Linked DNA regions of Oryzias latipes. The protein of the gene in region 1 purifies or fractionates together with the protein of each later gene. This does not show direct contact. Links are inferred from orthologs where the notes say so. Each region holds a gene or a part of one and is shown on either strand. Other genes may lie near its edges.

Region 1 (7,773 bases):
TTCAGGATAAAACGGGGTCACGATGGAAAGTTAATATCTGTCACTTAGATGCCAGTTAGCACTTCTGTCGTGTTGTTACTACGGTGATGGTGCCTTGATTTATCTTTTCGTTTTTTATAATAATTTTGATGCATACTTTACCTTCTGGTGATGCCTATGATGCAAGCATCAAACCACTTAAGCCCTAAAATTACCTTAATTTAGCATCTTCTTTTTCATAGCTGTAAATAAATTTAGGCTTCAAATGGGTAAAAATGCTTTGTCGTGTTTATGGGAATCATGTATGACATGTTTTGCGATACTTCTGAACTGCATGGGAGCTTGTGTGTGAAGTAACCTACTTTCCTCTTGTTTCTCTGCAGGTGAAGAAATCCCACAGTGAATCTCATGTTCCAGACCCCTCAGACGTCAGGTACACTCACACGTTTGCCGTGAGAAAGAAGGAAAAAAAAAAAAAAACGTTGACTTTTCAAAAGTGTGTGTTCGTGCAGCTATATGCGTGTCTCAGCTTTTCGGTCATGGTGCAGAGAGGTGAGGTTTCACTGCATTTGGAGCTGCAATAAGGTCATCGGTATTATCCCAAGACTTCAGTATCTGCACACATTTGCACACATACTCAGAAAAAAAGGTGAATCCTTATCATTTTTACAACTATAATTATAAAACAATATTTTTATTCTTTCTTTGTACTGTAAACTAAGGATTAAATTTAACAGATTTAATCTGTGAAAAAAAGCCCAGAATGTGACACTTTTCAGCAAAACATAGCTTATTTTTCAGCTGCTGGAGATAATGTAGAAACCAGAAAAGAGTTTATGAAACACCAACTCCTGCCATCACCTCCCGAGAGGAGCTAAACAGAGTAGGAGGAAGTGAGGAGGGGAGCGAGAATCATTTCCTGCTGCTGAAGGACAAAAAGAAAAGGATAAATGAAGAGTTGGTGAGAACATGAAAGGGAAACAGGCTCATCTCTAAAAGTTCCTGATGCCTTTACCAGGTTTTGCCAAATTTAATCGCTCAAAATGTGTATTTCCCAGAATAAATTCAGGATTTTGACTGAGATGTGACGAAAAGCAAAGCTTAACTTTAAAAAGGAGCAATCTGCGCCCTTTTTTTCCCTTTACAGTCTCATTGTGGCTTGGATTCATGTGTGGTGATGCCATCTGCCCCCCAGCGTGGAGATGTGCCGCTTCCACACAGATGTGCACTCCCTTCCACAGCAGCCCGCATTTGTTTAATTCTTCCTCCATCTCTGTCATTTCTGGCTTTGATATTTCGCATAAAAGCACTTGTGTGACCAAACCTGCAGGCGGCATGAGTCAGGACACACACGTTATGTTCACAACAAGGGCTGACTCAACATTAAAGTATGTCTTCTACTTAAGAACATGTTAATGTTGGGGTTTGTGGCAGGAGTGATTTATAAACTCTGGTTTTCCTGCTATGCACTTTTTGAAAACACTCTGAATGAGGGTCTTTGGCAGCGTGTGGAGATTTTTCTATTTAAACACCTTTTTTAATAAATAAATCTGCAGTAAAGATGTCTTTTTAGGTCCTCTTCCGTCTCCAATTATCACGCTAACACGCATTTTCCCTTCACCATCCGTGCCTTATGTGCCGAATTGTCCCATCATGCTTCTGGAACACGTTGTAAAACGGGGGGAGGGGGGGGGACGCTGGCAGGCTTTAGGTTTGTGTTGGACAGCGTAAGCACGCACGCTATCACTCCATAAAGAAACCAGCAGGTCCACAGACAATCCATAGCGCCTCTGAACACATGCTCATGTCAGCAAACTGCCGCGGAATATGAGGACGTTTATGACCATCCATCCCTGTGCATGTGCTGCTTGTGCTCAGTGGGATACCCACACTAAACGGGAGAGTGATCACCGCTGAGGAAGAGCTGTTCTTTCAGAAACCACGCCTCATCTCACCCCCTTCCCTTCCGTCCTCGCCATTGTCAGGTCTATGGAAATGCAGGACCTAGCCAGTCCTCATAACCGAGTTGGAGGTGGTGATTCAACAGGCTCCAAACTGGACAAGAGCAACCTGGAAAGCCCTTCCATCACCAGCAATGGAACAGGAGGTGAGAAGTATTATAAAAACATCAAGAATACTATGAAGAATTTCCTTAATCTTCATGATATATATGAAACATTTTATACTTTACCTAATCTTGAACCTTGACCTCGCTGCAAGTGAAAAAAGAGGAGAAAACTAAAGCTGGAATCATTTAAGTTCCCCTTTAATTTTGCTGAGATGGTCAAAACATTATGATTCCAGTGCCCACCATGACCTCAAGGCATTTTTTTTATTGATCGTCCTTTAAATTCTGTAAAGAGAAACCGAAAATACAACCTTTTTTAAACATGCTAATGCATTGTTGTTCATATTCGGAACCACTTTTAAATTCCCAGATTACCCAGCATTTTTTTGGACTTTACCTCTATGAGCACAAACAGGACAAAGTTATGCTCAGCCTCAAATGTACAAGATGTATATTTGAATAAACCCCTTTTTTAATTTAGACTAACCTTATTTATATTAATTATATTTGTAACCGTTGTTTGTTGGACCGGATGGAAAAGAAGAAGACAGAGAGAGAGAGAGATATTGGGGGGGGGGGGGGGGGGGGGGGATTATAGAAGCGGGGGGGGGGGGTTAAATCATAAAGCATCATAAAGCAACAAGTTACTGGAAGTTTCTAATAACTACTATCAGGTTTAGCTGTGTAGCAGATCTAAAATGGGCGGTTCTGTCCACACACACTCAAATGTTACAAAAATACCTGTTGGCTCCAAAAATCTTCACATACAAACATGTCAACATGTACACAATACAACTACCATTCACACATCCATACTTATGCATTCAGACTAACAAGTGTGAAACATTTCATTCAGTCACACAAACTATTTGTGCGAAGATAAGCTAACACCTGTGCTCGAGTGAGTGTTATGTTCTGCTGGGGTGAGTGATGAAATGTAAAAAAAAAGGAGCCCCCAATACCAGAGAGCAGGGGGGCACAGGTGAGCACAGCCCAACCAGAAGAGCAGCCCCCTGCCACACCCGGGGGACCAAACGTGTGGTCCCACCCCGGGAGAGCACCCCCAGCCCCAGACGAGCAGCCCACCACCACCCAGTAGTTCTGAGCACCCCCCTAACAAACCCAGGCACGAGCCAGGGTTCCCCAAAAGAGACCCGCCCCATGTTCCAGGCAGCCACCCACCCAGCCCACGGGAGGTCCAGGAGAGAGCAAAGCAGGGGCCACCCACTCTCGCCCAGGAGGAGGACGCCCAAGAGAAGTGGGGGTCCCCATGGAGTGTTGTAAACATGGCCTGACCAGGTTCACCCACTGTTGGAATTTTGGGCAAGAACCAGAACCCTGACCACAGGGACACGGACACCCCCTGGGTCAGATGTGTTGTGATCCCCGGCCTTGGTCTTATTACAATTTTAAACGAAGTACTCACAACTTTATATTGATGGAAATAATCCTCTATCTTAATGTATCTGCAGTTGGGCAGGATAATCAAGAGGCTTTAGGCCTGCAGAAATGAAGTAAAATTGATAGACAGACTATGGCTTATAAAACAAAAAAAGAAGAAGAAAAGACACTTCCGTGTAACCCTTGTGCTATCCTATGGGGTCAAGATGACCAGTGACATGTTATTCCTACCATGATAAAGGTGGATAAAGGTGGAGAGCATATAATCCATGGACACCCACCAGTGAAGATCACAAATCATTGAAGAAAAAAGGTTCAGCGCACTGTCTTGTGGGGTCTAGATGGCTCCATTCCCAATGTTAAAGTGCCTAGGATAGCACAAGGGTTAAATAGAATTGTCATTCAGTTTATTGTGTGTCAGAATGTTTGTATTTAAGCCCAAAACCTCTCAGGCAACTATTTTCTTTACAACAGCATTGAAGAATAACTGCTCTCTTATGTGTCAACGTCAGCTAGCCCTTTTGCTCTTTTCTGTCATTGCCCGGCTTGTTTTTCTTCCCTGTCCATACTTTGTCTGTTTCATTTTCCTTCTCCCCATCTTTTCTTCCCATCTGTCTCTTTCCATCCATCAATTCTTCATTCTTAATTGTCTCAGAGCCAATTTTGGCAGGGCACCAGGACGTAATAGCCCTGAATGTGGTGATTCTGTTCAGGGCAATTCTTTGATCTGCTGTTGCTTCAACGGGCAACGGAAAGCTTTTTAAGGCATAATGTGATGGAAAAAGTGAGCTGTGGCATTTTAGTCATCTTGATGTGTCAACAGTCAACCTTTGAGTGAAAAAAAACAACCAATTCCAACCCTGTTAGAGCCGTTAAATCCATTTTGATGAGCTCACAGTTAATGGTTTAAGCAGGCAAAGCCAGGCGTACACACAAAGCCAAAATAAACTACATACCCAACATTCCTGTTACCTTACATCAGCCAACACTCAGACCCACCATTTCCACAGAAACTGATTCATACTTATATTTTTCTCCTTTAGGAGAATGATGAAGATGTTCTGAGTTAAATGAGGTTTTGATACTGTGATGAAGTTTAATCAGATGCACAGAAACTATCTGGAAAGCTAATACAGAATATATCGAGGTTTTTTAACAAGTGGACTAATGCTTTGATCACTATCATTGTTAAGTTTTTTTTCATGGTATTTATTACACTAATTCATTAACTTTCAGTTGTAGTTTTACCAAGAGAAACTTAGGTTTTCACCTCCTGTTTCCAGTTACTCAAAAACATAGTTTTATTTAGCCTGAGGATTGGACAAAAAGTGAAAGGAAAAGGCAGCTAAACTGGTTCAAAACCAACATGACAGAATGTCAGATAAGCTCAAAATAATTTGTAACTGTGCCGTTAATTTCAAATTAAAAAATATTTTTCTATTGTAAGAAAATCTCCACAAAAGGGGTTCAGTTATGGAATAACTGCAGAGAAAACATCAAAAATTGATAATCCATAATAAATACAATGCAATTATAAAGGGTGATGTATTGTATACATATAAAGGAGTCAACAACATTTATTACTATTTTTTTTCTTTCCAAAATTAATTGTTTTCATACGTTAAACTTCATCCAAAGTCTTTTTTAAACTTTGCATACTGTCATCATTATATGTCTGTTTCTGGTGTTTATTTGTTTATTTTATCCGTTCAAAATAAAAATAAAATAAAAACTACATATTTGGGCCTCCAGGTGATATATAGGCACTGAGCAAACAAACAAAAGCAATTTGGGAGACAGTTCAGGAATTTACGATTTAAGAAGCTGTTTTTGGCAGAAATTTGAGCCTACACATTTAAAAATAGCCTATTTGAAATGTTTAAAATGTATTATTTTATTATATTGATTTAACGAAAGCAGAATATGTGATGATGTGGCCCCATCATATCAGCAAATTACAAACAAGTTATCTAATTCCCACAATGTTTGTTGCCAGATACTTATGATAATGTATTTATTGTAAGATCCTTTGACTTAAAAAACATTTGAATGAGCAAGAGTTACCATAAGTTTGATAGAATGTGTGGTTCAAGTGTAATAAACAGTCTATGAACAGTCCTTGTGAAAACTGTTGAGTGTAAGCAAAGAACATATCACAGGTTTTTCTCCACAGCAAATGTACTGAAATGATCTCAAATCCAACTAAATGATGGGATTTAGACACATTTGCTGTATATGAACACCTACCATTAATAATATATATTTTCTTTGCACAGATGGTCAAACAATTGTTTACATCTGAATTGAAATAGGCTAATTATTGTTTAAAAAATGCATCTTGCAGTTCAGCTAATGCAAGACATCTTAGCGCATTTTTCCAATAACAATTTTTAACTTTCCGTTAAACATTTTATTAATCCATTTGACTGGAGTGTAAGAACAGTCACTGCATGACTACTTCCTTATGTGTGACTTAAGTAATGCCAGGGGTCTGCAACTTTTAACGTGGAAAGAGCCATTTGGGTTAGTATGCTTTTGTGACCATTAGGCCACTAATTATTAAAATGTAGCTGTGAAATATTTACGATAATTTACTTACAACTGTATTTACTTTTGACAGCTACATACAAGTTCCTTTCAAAATAAAATTCACCCAAGATCCTCCTGCTGTAGCAGATTTTTTTAAAAATGCATGAAAGCCAAATGGTAAATGGCATTTTCTATCACAACAACTTCATCCTTTTTCTCTTCTTACTATCAGTTATAATTATGACAACTTTGAAGTAGATTTTCAATGAAAAAATGTTAAGATCATTGCTAATATATACTTTAGGGGCTTTACCTCTGAGCAGCAACACTGTTGTGCAGCAGAAGATCAGAAAATGTGCTTTAAGCTTATCTAATAATAAACCGCTCTGACAGTAGATTAAGCCTTTTACCATCGTGATGCAGTTATCTGGCGTGTTGAAAATCTAGAAAAAAAAAAAAAATTCAATAAATAGTATTTTTCTTAAAAGATAAGGAGACACAGTGGATGGTGTTGCATGTGGCTCTGGAGTCTCAGGTTGCAGACCCCTGAGTTATGTGAATGTTTTGTCTTTCAGAGTTGATATTACTATGTGGCAATTCAAGGGGTTCATCTGAGATTGCAGTGGCAGGTTCTTAGTTCAATGTTTCTTCACACCCCTCCCACCTTGCACCCTCCATAGGTGAAAACATGACTGTTCTAAACACGGCTGATTGGCTGTTAGGCTGCAGCAGTCCGTCCCCTGCCTCCAGTTCCAAGGACTATGGTACAGAGGTGCATGTGTGTGAATTCAGTGGGCACACAATGTTACATTAAACGGAAAGGCAATGGCTTTAAAGCAGACTTTTCTTTTTGTCTCCCCTTGCTGTGATTTGTTTTCATTTGCTGTGAGGTTTTCCCTCCTTTTCACATCCCATTGTGAATTTGCTACAGTGTGTGTGGTCTGCTTAAACACAGTATACACATGGTTCCCTGTCAACGTGTTAAAAATGATGAACTTGCAGCATGTTTAAGGGAGGTTTTCCAGAGGTTCACAATGCATGATTACTTTTTTAAAATCAGTCATCACACTTTATGGTTTTTATACTTTTCCTGAGAGTAAAAAAATCACAAGAAAAAGCCAAGGAGCCATAAAATCTGAAAGCCATGTGGAGTTTCATCAGATGGGAGGGCTGCACACATTTTCTTCACAGGCAGGGAGGTGCATGGTAGTTTTGTGCTTTTTGCCAGTGTTATTATTCCTTTTCTTTGGTGTGTGATCAATTTGTAGTGTCGTACTCAAACTGTTATGCTTTCCTGTCCTTTTTTAGTAAAAACAGAGCCTCTGAACAGCAGCGACACAGTCACAACGACGGGCGACACAGCACTAGACACATACGCAGGCTCAGGTATGGCCCATTGCATTTGTCTGCATCTCTTCCGATTGCTCCAAAGTCAAAATTTCCCATCATGCATCAGTAACTACACTGCTGAAAGCTTTAATCCACTCAAGTATTGCCTGTCCTTGAATTGCATCATCAAAGGCTGGACACAGGAAGACATTTTTAGACAGACGCATAACCCTTTGCGACTTTTACGCAACAGAACACACAACACTGTGACTTGAAAGCCATTAGACAAAATAGAAAGAGGGCTTAGGAGCAGCAGGGTGTTTGTCAGTGCTGCGCTCTGACATCTCAATGACCATAAACAGACATTGTGTTTTGTTATGAGGCCCGCTGTAGGGGATTTTAGCTTGGCTTCTGTCCATTCAAAATGCTTCAGATTATGTTAACTGGAATGGAATGGCTCCAGTTGG
Region 2 (7,317 bases), on another chromosome or scaffold:
TGGAAAAAATGTTGGAATTAGAATTTGTAGATTTCGAACAGCATGCGTGTGGCGAGTTCACAACTGTTGTGATCTTAGCAAACTCTTTTTTATCGGAATGTCATGAAAATCCAAAACATGATTCCCTGGCTCAAGCTGAACAAAACGATAATAACATATGATATAACTGTATTAGGAAATTGGGCGTGGGAAACAAAAAAATGTTGCTAAAAATTCTGTTCAAATATTACCCACAGAGATCACAAGTAGCCCATCAAAGGGTCACCATTTGTTTTTGTTCTTGCACATATTTGACCCAACATTTGACTGCTAAATCTGGGACTAATGCACACCACAGCAAGGCCAGATGTCAGCCACATCTTACCCACAACCGTAACTGGGCCAAAAAAAGACCAGTGAATATTCCAGTTCTGGCCCATACTGGGCCCACATGACGGCACTTAGGTGGCCTGCTCCTGTAGCCGGATGTGGGCCTAAAGCAAACCCTATCAAGGCCAGATGTCACCCAAATATTACACACAGAAACTGCAACTTATCCAACAACAGGCCACTGTTTTGTTTTGTTTTTTTAGTTTAAGCCTTACAGGGCCTACATCACACATCTCCTTTTTGGTCCATGTTGTAACAAGTGGCATGAAGCCACTGCTTAGCCAATAAGGGCTCACAGAAAGGGTGTGCTTTGGGGTGGGGGAGGGCAGGGATGGAAAGAGAGTGGGGTGTGAGTGCAGGGCGGATAGCACTTGCAAGCCATACAATGCGGCATGCTGCTTTACTTTTAATTAAGTTTTTGTTTTTAATGTTCAGATTTCATGTTTGTTTGTTCTTCCATCACTGTTGAAATTACACTACATTAGGATGGATTGGTGTGTTTTACCACTCTTCCATAATCCACACATCAAAATCATGGTAAACAATTTAATCTACTGTCACAGCTAGTTATTATCAGAATAAGTTTCTTACATTTTTATTTCAAGTGAATCTGCTACAGGAGGTTCTTCTTTGACATGGGTTGTATTTTTGTTGTATTTCAAAAGGAACTTGTATAAACTGCTTTCAAAAGTAAAAAAAAAATGAAATAGTTGCATATAACAAACTTGATGATTATAAATATTCAAGAGATACATTTCTAAATGATCACTAAAACATAAATATTGTTGTTCACCTTTAGGCACATGGAGTCCACAGAGGGGTCACCACAGCGAGTCAGCCTCCACTGAGTTATGAAGGTGGTATGGCAGACATTTTTATGCCAGATGCCCTTCTTGATACAACCCTGGACTTTATCCGGGCAGGAGACAGGCACAGGGTATTTTTCTAAGCAGTGAAATTAGACTTTGTGGCCCTTCCAGGTTTTTGGTTAGTAAGAATCTGGCCCAAATTGATTTTTTTTTCTTTGTGTTTAAGGTTGCAGACCTCTGACCTAAATAACCCTGTTCAATTTGAAGGCAGTTTGTTCATGCATCACCTACAAATAATAAATAAAAAGAATGTCTCCTCTTTTGACTGCTTTCATCAGGCTCATGGCTCTTTGTGCTCTGAAAAGTTCAAAAAAATGTTTTCTTACTATAGCATTACTTCAACATCTGTTCACACATAGCTGTATTTCATTTAGCACGTTTTAAGAAGCATAGAAACATTTAATTTTTTCTCAAATTATAGATATGCAAGTAAACAGGAAAATGATTGTTTCATATTAGAGGGGTTTGTCTTGTTAGAATAACAGATTTGGGGAAACCAATTTCTCTGTGGCCCTTCTCACCAAACAAATACATTCAAGACTAGTACTGTATTTAAGTAATTTGATCTTGGCTAATTATTTTAACTAGTATGTTGATAAGTGAATGTGTCACATGTTACAGAGTCCATTTAAAGTTTCCCCAAAAATTAAGAGTACAACTAAACTAAAGGAGTTTTTAATGTAATCTCAGTTCAGATCAGATTTCTGTGAGAGCTTGAATTTTTTTGCTCCTGCCATCAAATAACTGAAAGAATGAAACACACAAGTCAAACTTCAACCATTCTTTTTTACTTCAGGCAGTTTTGTGTAACACTTGAACAGAAAAGACATGGAATTCAAAATGATAATTAGGGGAATAAACAAAAGGTAAAAGCCTTTTCATTGTTGTTCTGTGCTTTTCACAAGACAAGTACAACGGATTTGGCACCCCATTTTTTCTCCCCACTGTCACTTCTGCATTATAAAGAGCCTTAGACGTTAGATGTTCAAGGGAAAATGGGCTCTTCCAAATACATAAAAAATAACCAACTCTGTAAGAAAAATAATTCCTAATAAAAACAGATAATTTTCAAAATAAAATCCCGTTGGTCTTTTTTTTAGGTTGACCTCAGATGTAAAACTGAGTAGACAAAAGGCGTCAGCATTGAAAGAAATATCACTGTGACGGAGAACAAAAAAAGGTTTAGCAGCAACAGTCTCTGGCCTCCACCAACCAGCTCAGTCCTTGTACTCCGTGTACTTTTTGGCCGACCCGTGGACTTTACTTGCGGGATATTTGAGTTTGTTGAGGGCCATTTTGCGCAGCACCGCTTGCGGGAGATCCACGCGACACTTCTCGGCGAGCTCCACCAGGTAGATCATGACGTCACTGAGCTCGTGAGCCAGCTGCTCCCGCTCAGACTCTGTCCAGCCCGGCAGGCCCTCGGCCACCTCCCCGCGCCACTGAAATAGCTCCGATACCTCCCCCACCTCTCCCACCATGGCGAGAAGCAGGTTCCGGGGCTGGTGGAACTGGTTCCAGTCACGCTCGTCCGTGAACTCTGCCTGCATCCTCCGAATGTCTTCCATGGTGGGCTCTGGACTGAAGGTGAACCTCTGCGGCTGCTCTGTTTTCGAGTTGTGCGCTGTCGAGTGAGATGAGGCGGCGCCATGATCAGATTCTTCACAACCGCCATTTAGAAACAGAGATTCCACTTTTTCGTTTGCTGCCATCATCTTCTTGTATTTTTCTCACACAACTTATAGATCTCTAACCCGACACAGCCCCTCTTTCAACATGTGGAGAAGTCCCGCCAGCTAAGAAAACGGAAATGACGTCGAGTAAAACAGGAAGTCGAAATCCTTCGGAAACTGGACCTTGTAGTTGCTTAGACGAACAGCGGCGTTGAAGCAGATATCACGGACTAATTAATGGAACTACAAATTCCATCATCCTTTAACACTTCACTGCAAACATGGCTGCTTCTCGTGTAACAGCAAATGAAATATTTCTTAACATAAAACAAATATCAACACGGTATCCGAAAGCTTTGTGTTTATTCCGAAAAATCAGTACTTCAAGACCACACTATGATAAACAACCTGAACCGAGAACAAAGAGGTAAAGCCGGACATTAACGTTAAGTATTTATTTTCTAACTGTTTCAGGAGATGTGAACCTGAACACAGCGCACATAACCCCTGCTGCGTTCAGGTGCTCTTGTATTTAGACACCGCATAGGAGCTAAACAATGTCGGTATGCTATTATTTTGGCTTTTACTGTAAATGTCGTTGACCGTTGTTGTAGTTTCTACGGACCATTTAAAAGGCACTGCTAACTATAAACCCACTTTTTTTCAAAATTAAACTAAACTAGAAATGTTTGTGTAAAAATATGTTGTGTCAGGATGAGGATCTGCCATTCAGTTCCTTATTATTCACTTGTCTTCAAAATGTTTAAAATTCAATGGAAAAACAAGTTACCTGTTAGTTTTTAAGGTTTTTAGACTGCTGTTTGTTTGAATCACAAGCTAAAAGACTTTATTCAAGCACGGACAAATGTGTCTTATTTTCCTAGTTTTATTTCTGTTGACATGGTAAACATTGTACTTCTACTGTACAACATTTTAGGCAAGTTTCAAACAAAAATAAGTCCTATCATAACTAGTTACTTGTGAATTTATTTCTGGAAGTTATTATAAAAAATTTTAAAAAGGAAAAGACAACACTCAATTGAAATAAATATATATATATTTTTTAAATTCTCCATCATTAATGCCTTTTTGCACACATTTCTACCCCTTTTTCCTGCTGACACTATTTCAAGAGCCCATGAGATGTTCAGCATTATTTATCGCTTCGGTCTTTTAGTTTAGTTTTAGTTTCATTCATTAAAAAAACATTTTTAATGCTTTTTTCCAAATTCCAAATGAATGTCTAAATGGAAATTGTTAATTTCCTACCCTATTGATGAACTCTGATGATTGTGTGCTGTAAAAATATAATCATGACTCGTCATCTTTCTGCTTCACAGAATTTACCAAAAGAGAAAAAAAATGTCAAGTTTTTAAACTTTTTATTTGCTCTCAGAAACATTTGCTTTAATGTTAATGTCAGCACAAAAATTCATCAGACTCCAAGTCAGTACTTTGAAAATGAGCTGATATTTTTGTTCGATTCTGCAGTGTTATTTCTGTATTGTTAACTGTTTCCACACAAACCAATAATCTTCTGTTCACTTCTTCAGGTTTTACTTGCATAAACACACATTTGTGTTTTTATAACTGAGTTCAGGAAAACAACTGTGGTTTTTAGACTTTATAAATGAAATAATACATTTTTCTTTGTCAGTCTGACAGAAGTTGCTTTCTAAAGTTTTCCAGCTGCACAGCCTTCTCCTCAGAACCCCGTCTCATGGTTCTGGCTTCTTTGCTTCCAGTGCCTCCCAGCAGCTGGTTGGAGTGGTCGGCCTGGAAGTTCACGCCCAGATTAACTCCAACACCAAGCTGTTCTCTGGTTCTCCAGTTCGCTTCTCAGCTCCTCCCAACTCCCTGGTTTCATTTTTTGATGCGTCTTTACCCGGCACATTACCTGTGAGTGATTCTCCAGTACAAAACTCAGGCTTACTGGGGTTTTTTTCTAAATTGATGCATTTCTGCGTCTCCAGATGCTGAACAGGCGATGTGTTGAAGCTGCAGTGATGACCGGATTGGCTCTCAACTGCACCATAAATAAGAAGTCGTATTTTGACAGGAAACACTACTTCTATGCTGACCTTCCGGTGAGTGTCCCCCCCTCTCAGTCCTCTGATGGACAGCATCCTTTTGATTCAGCAGGTGGCAGTTTGCTGGGTGGAGACACCACCTGTGTTGACTTTATGATGCTTTTACTTTTATATGGTTTATCTCACAGTGACAATTCTATAAAATTCTAAATCTGCTTTATGTGCAGGTCACTTTTTTTTAGTTTTGAATCTGTAATGGATCAAATCTCACAGCGGCTCAACAAAAATTTACTTGCAGATGTTTGTGTGACTGTTGGTTCCTGTTATAAATGACAGAATGGAATTTTCTTTTTTTAATTTGGCAAAACTCTTTATAAAAAAACCAGGAGGCTTCATTCAAGCTGCATTTCCATTTCCACAGTCTCCTGGGAGGTAAAATGACGATCTAAAGTGTAACATAATCAGGTAAAGGGTTCAGTTATGAAGAACTTGGTTTAAAACTCAGGATTAGACAAAATCAGATTAAAAAAGTTGCTGAGAAAAAGCATTAGAAAATTTGATTTTTCTATAAAGAAATTGTCCTTTTGCTTAAGTAAATTGGAAATGCAAGCTGTGCTTTTAGATGAAGAGTTTATAGAAATGGAAAAAATATCAATACATTTAGAAAGATTTTCAATAAACAAGCATGTATTTCCACAATCTCACTTTTTCTTCAAAGCAATAATGTGCATGCGTACATCGTTGTGGCAGGGCTCATTGTTTATTTGCTGCCACTCGTTTTTTTTTTGTCCAACTAAAGGCTTCTGTGAACCAAAAGTAGAAAATATGATGAAACATTTTTCTGACTTGTTTGCATAAGTAGAGGGTGAATGTTGATCCTCTTTCTTTTGGTGACAAATATAAGTAGTTTTTAGCCTTAAAGAGTTTCTACATAAAAGTATATATCTTTATAAATTAGAAAGACACAATATTGGAAAACAATCACATTAAATCCAAATATTAAAAAAAATTTTTTAATATCTTTTACCTTCAGTTTCTAAGTGACATGAAAAAACATTGTTTGGACAGAGGTTTTGGCAGATTGCCTTTAAATATCATATATATCACAGATATTACTATAGTAATATGTATAGTAATACTATTGTAATATCTGTAATTTGTATAGTAATATCGGTGATATGACTGCTTTACTGTTTGCAATCCTCTTTTAGTGAAGCAACCACATCAGCTTGAAACTACACAAGTGAAATTTGACATTAAAAATAATGTTTAAAGTCTCTCTCTGATCATCTTTTGATCTGTTTCAAAGCGTTCCCAGTGGTCTTTTAATTATGATTATGAAGTTTTTAGTCCAACTCGACAACCTGTGTCGTTTTTTTGGACATATTTTCTGAAGTTCATTAAAAAATTTGCCTTTGAGTTGTGGGCGGAACCAACCCCATCCCCTCCCCCTCCCCCTTTTGTCTACAAATAAGGCATCGGAATGGAGCGGAGCAGGGAGCTCGTGGCCCGCCCAGCATTTTTTCTACGTCACAAACACAAGCTGTATCCAACTGCTTTTATTTATTTATTTTTTTGTTTGCTTCCGATTCACAACAGTTTGAGTAAAGAAATACTAAAAAATGCAATTTAAGCTTAAATTTCTTAATATGTATTCTCCATCATGAGAAAAATATAAACACCATTTTTATCAGAGATCTTGGTGTGGAAGTGGAATATTTGTAGTAAAAGGGAAGACAACCCCCTAAAAACCTTTAGTGGTTTTGTTTGTTTTTTTCAGAGTGATGCCTAATTAGCCCTTCTGAATGGAGTTTCTGCACGACTGGATCTCAATACCCTTCAGGTGATTTTAGTGCTGATATTAAAGGAGCAGGCTAAATGTCACGGCAGCTCTGCAGGGATTTCTTTTGTTGAAAAAGTATAGACATTTTTTTGGGATCATTTTAAAGCCCCTTATTTGATTTAAAATAATGATTATAATGAGTAGCTTTGGGCTACAGACTAAAGAGGGTAATTCTAAATAATGTTATTTTAGCTTTTTTTTTTTTTTTTTACATAATTTGACCAAAATAGTTGTGGCTGATGATTAGATTTACATTGCAAATGAGTTTTCCTTCTTTGTAGTTATAACAGCTTATATTAAAAGAAGCGAGTGCATTTATTTTCTACTTTCCATAATAAAAAGCAATTAATTTTTTAGAAGTTAGTCCAAATCCCCTCCAGAAAGCCAGAGATGATTGTTTGCTTCTTCTTGTGTTTGCAGAAGTTTTCCTCCTCTGCTTTCACTCTCACAGTTGGCTCAGGCAGCAGAGCGATAACGCCCAACTACATTCAATTTATTCCCATTGAATCTCCACATTGAGTCGAGCCTGCCTA

Evidence for each region.
Region 2: the proteins of eya4 (region 1) and dctpp1 purify together in Homo sapiens (affinity purification with mass spectrometry; 3 studies listed by BioGRID and IntAct, with this or other methods). This does not show direct contact. The link is inferred for Oryzias latipes from reciprocal best matches to the Homo sapiens genes EYA4 and DCTPP1.

Annotation. Positions count from the first base shown.
Region 1 is NC_019882.2:14,109,433-14,117,205, reverse strand, and holds part of eya4 (eyes absent homolog 4), read left to right. Parts: intron 1-362; coding exon 363-412; intron 413-1,964; coding exon 1,965-2,086; intron 2,087-6,657; coding exon 6,658-6,741; intron 6,742-7,285; coding exon 7,286-7,363; intron 7,364-7,773. UniProt on the Homo sapiens protein: Tyrosine phosphatase that specifically dephosphorylates 'Tyr-142' of histone H2AX (H2AXY142ph). 'Tyr-142' phosphorylation of histone H2AX plays a central role in DNA repair and acts as a mark that distinguishes between apoptotic and repair responses to genotoxic stress.
Region 2 is NC_019859.2:19,225,276-19,232,592, reverse strand, and holds dctpp1 (dCTP pyrophosphatase 1), read right to left. Parts: upstream 3,078-7,317; 5' UTR 2,954-3,077; coding exon 2,456-2,953; 3' UTR 2,005-2,455; downstream 1-2,004. Other genes in the region: gatb (glutamyl-tRNA(Gln) amidotransferase subunit B, mitochondrial), read left to right, coding at 3,193-3,338, 4,657-4,810, 4,885-4,998. UniProt on the Homo sapiens protein: Hydrolyzes deoxynucleoside triphosphates (dNTPs) to the corresponding nucleoside monophosphates. Has a strong preference for dCTP and its analogs including 5-iodo-dCTP and 5-methyl-dCTP for which it may even have a higher efficiency.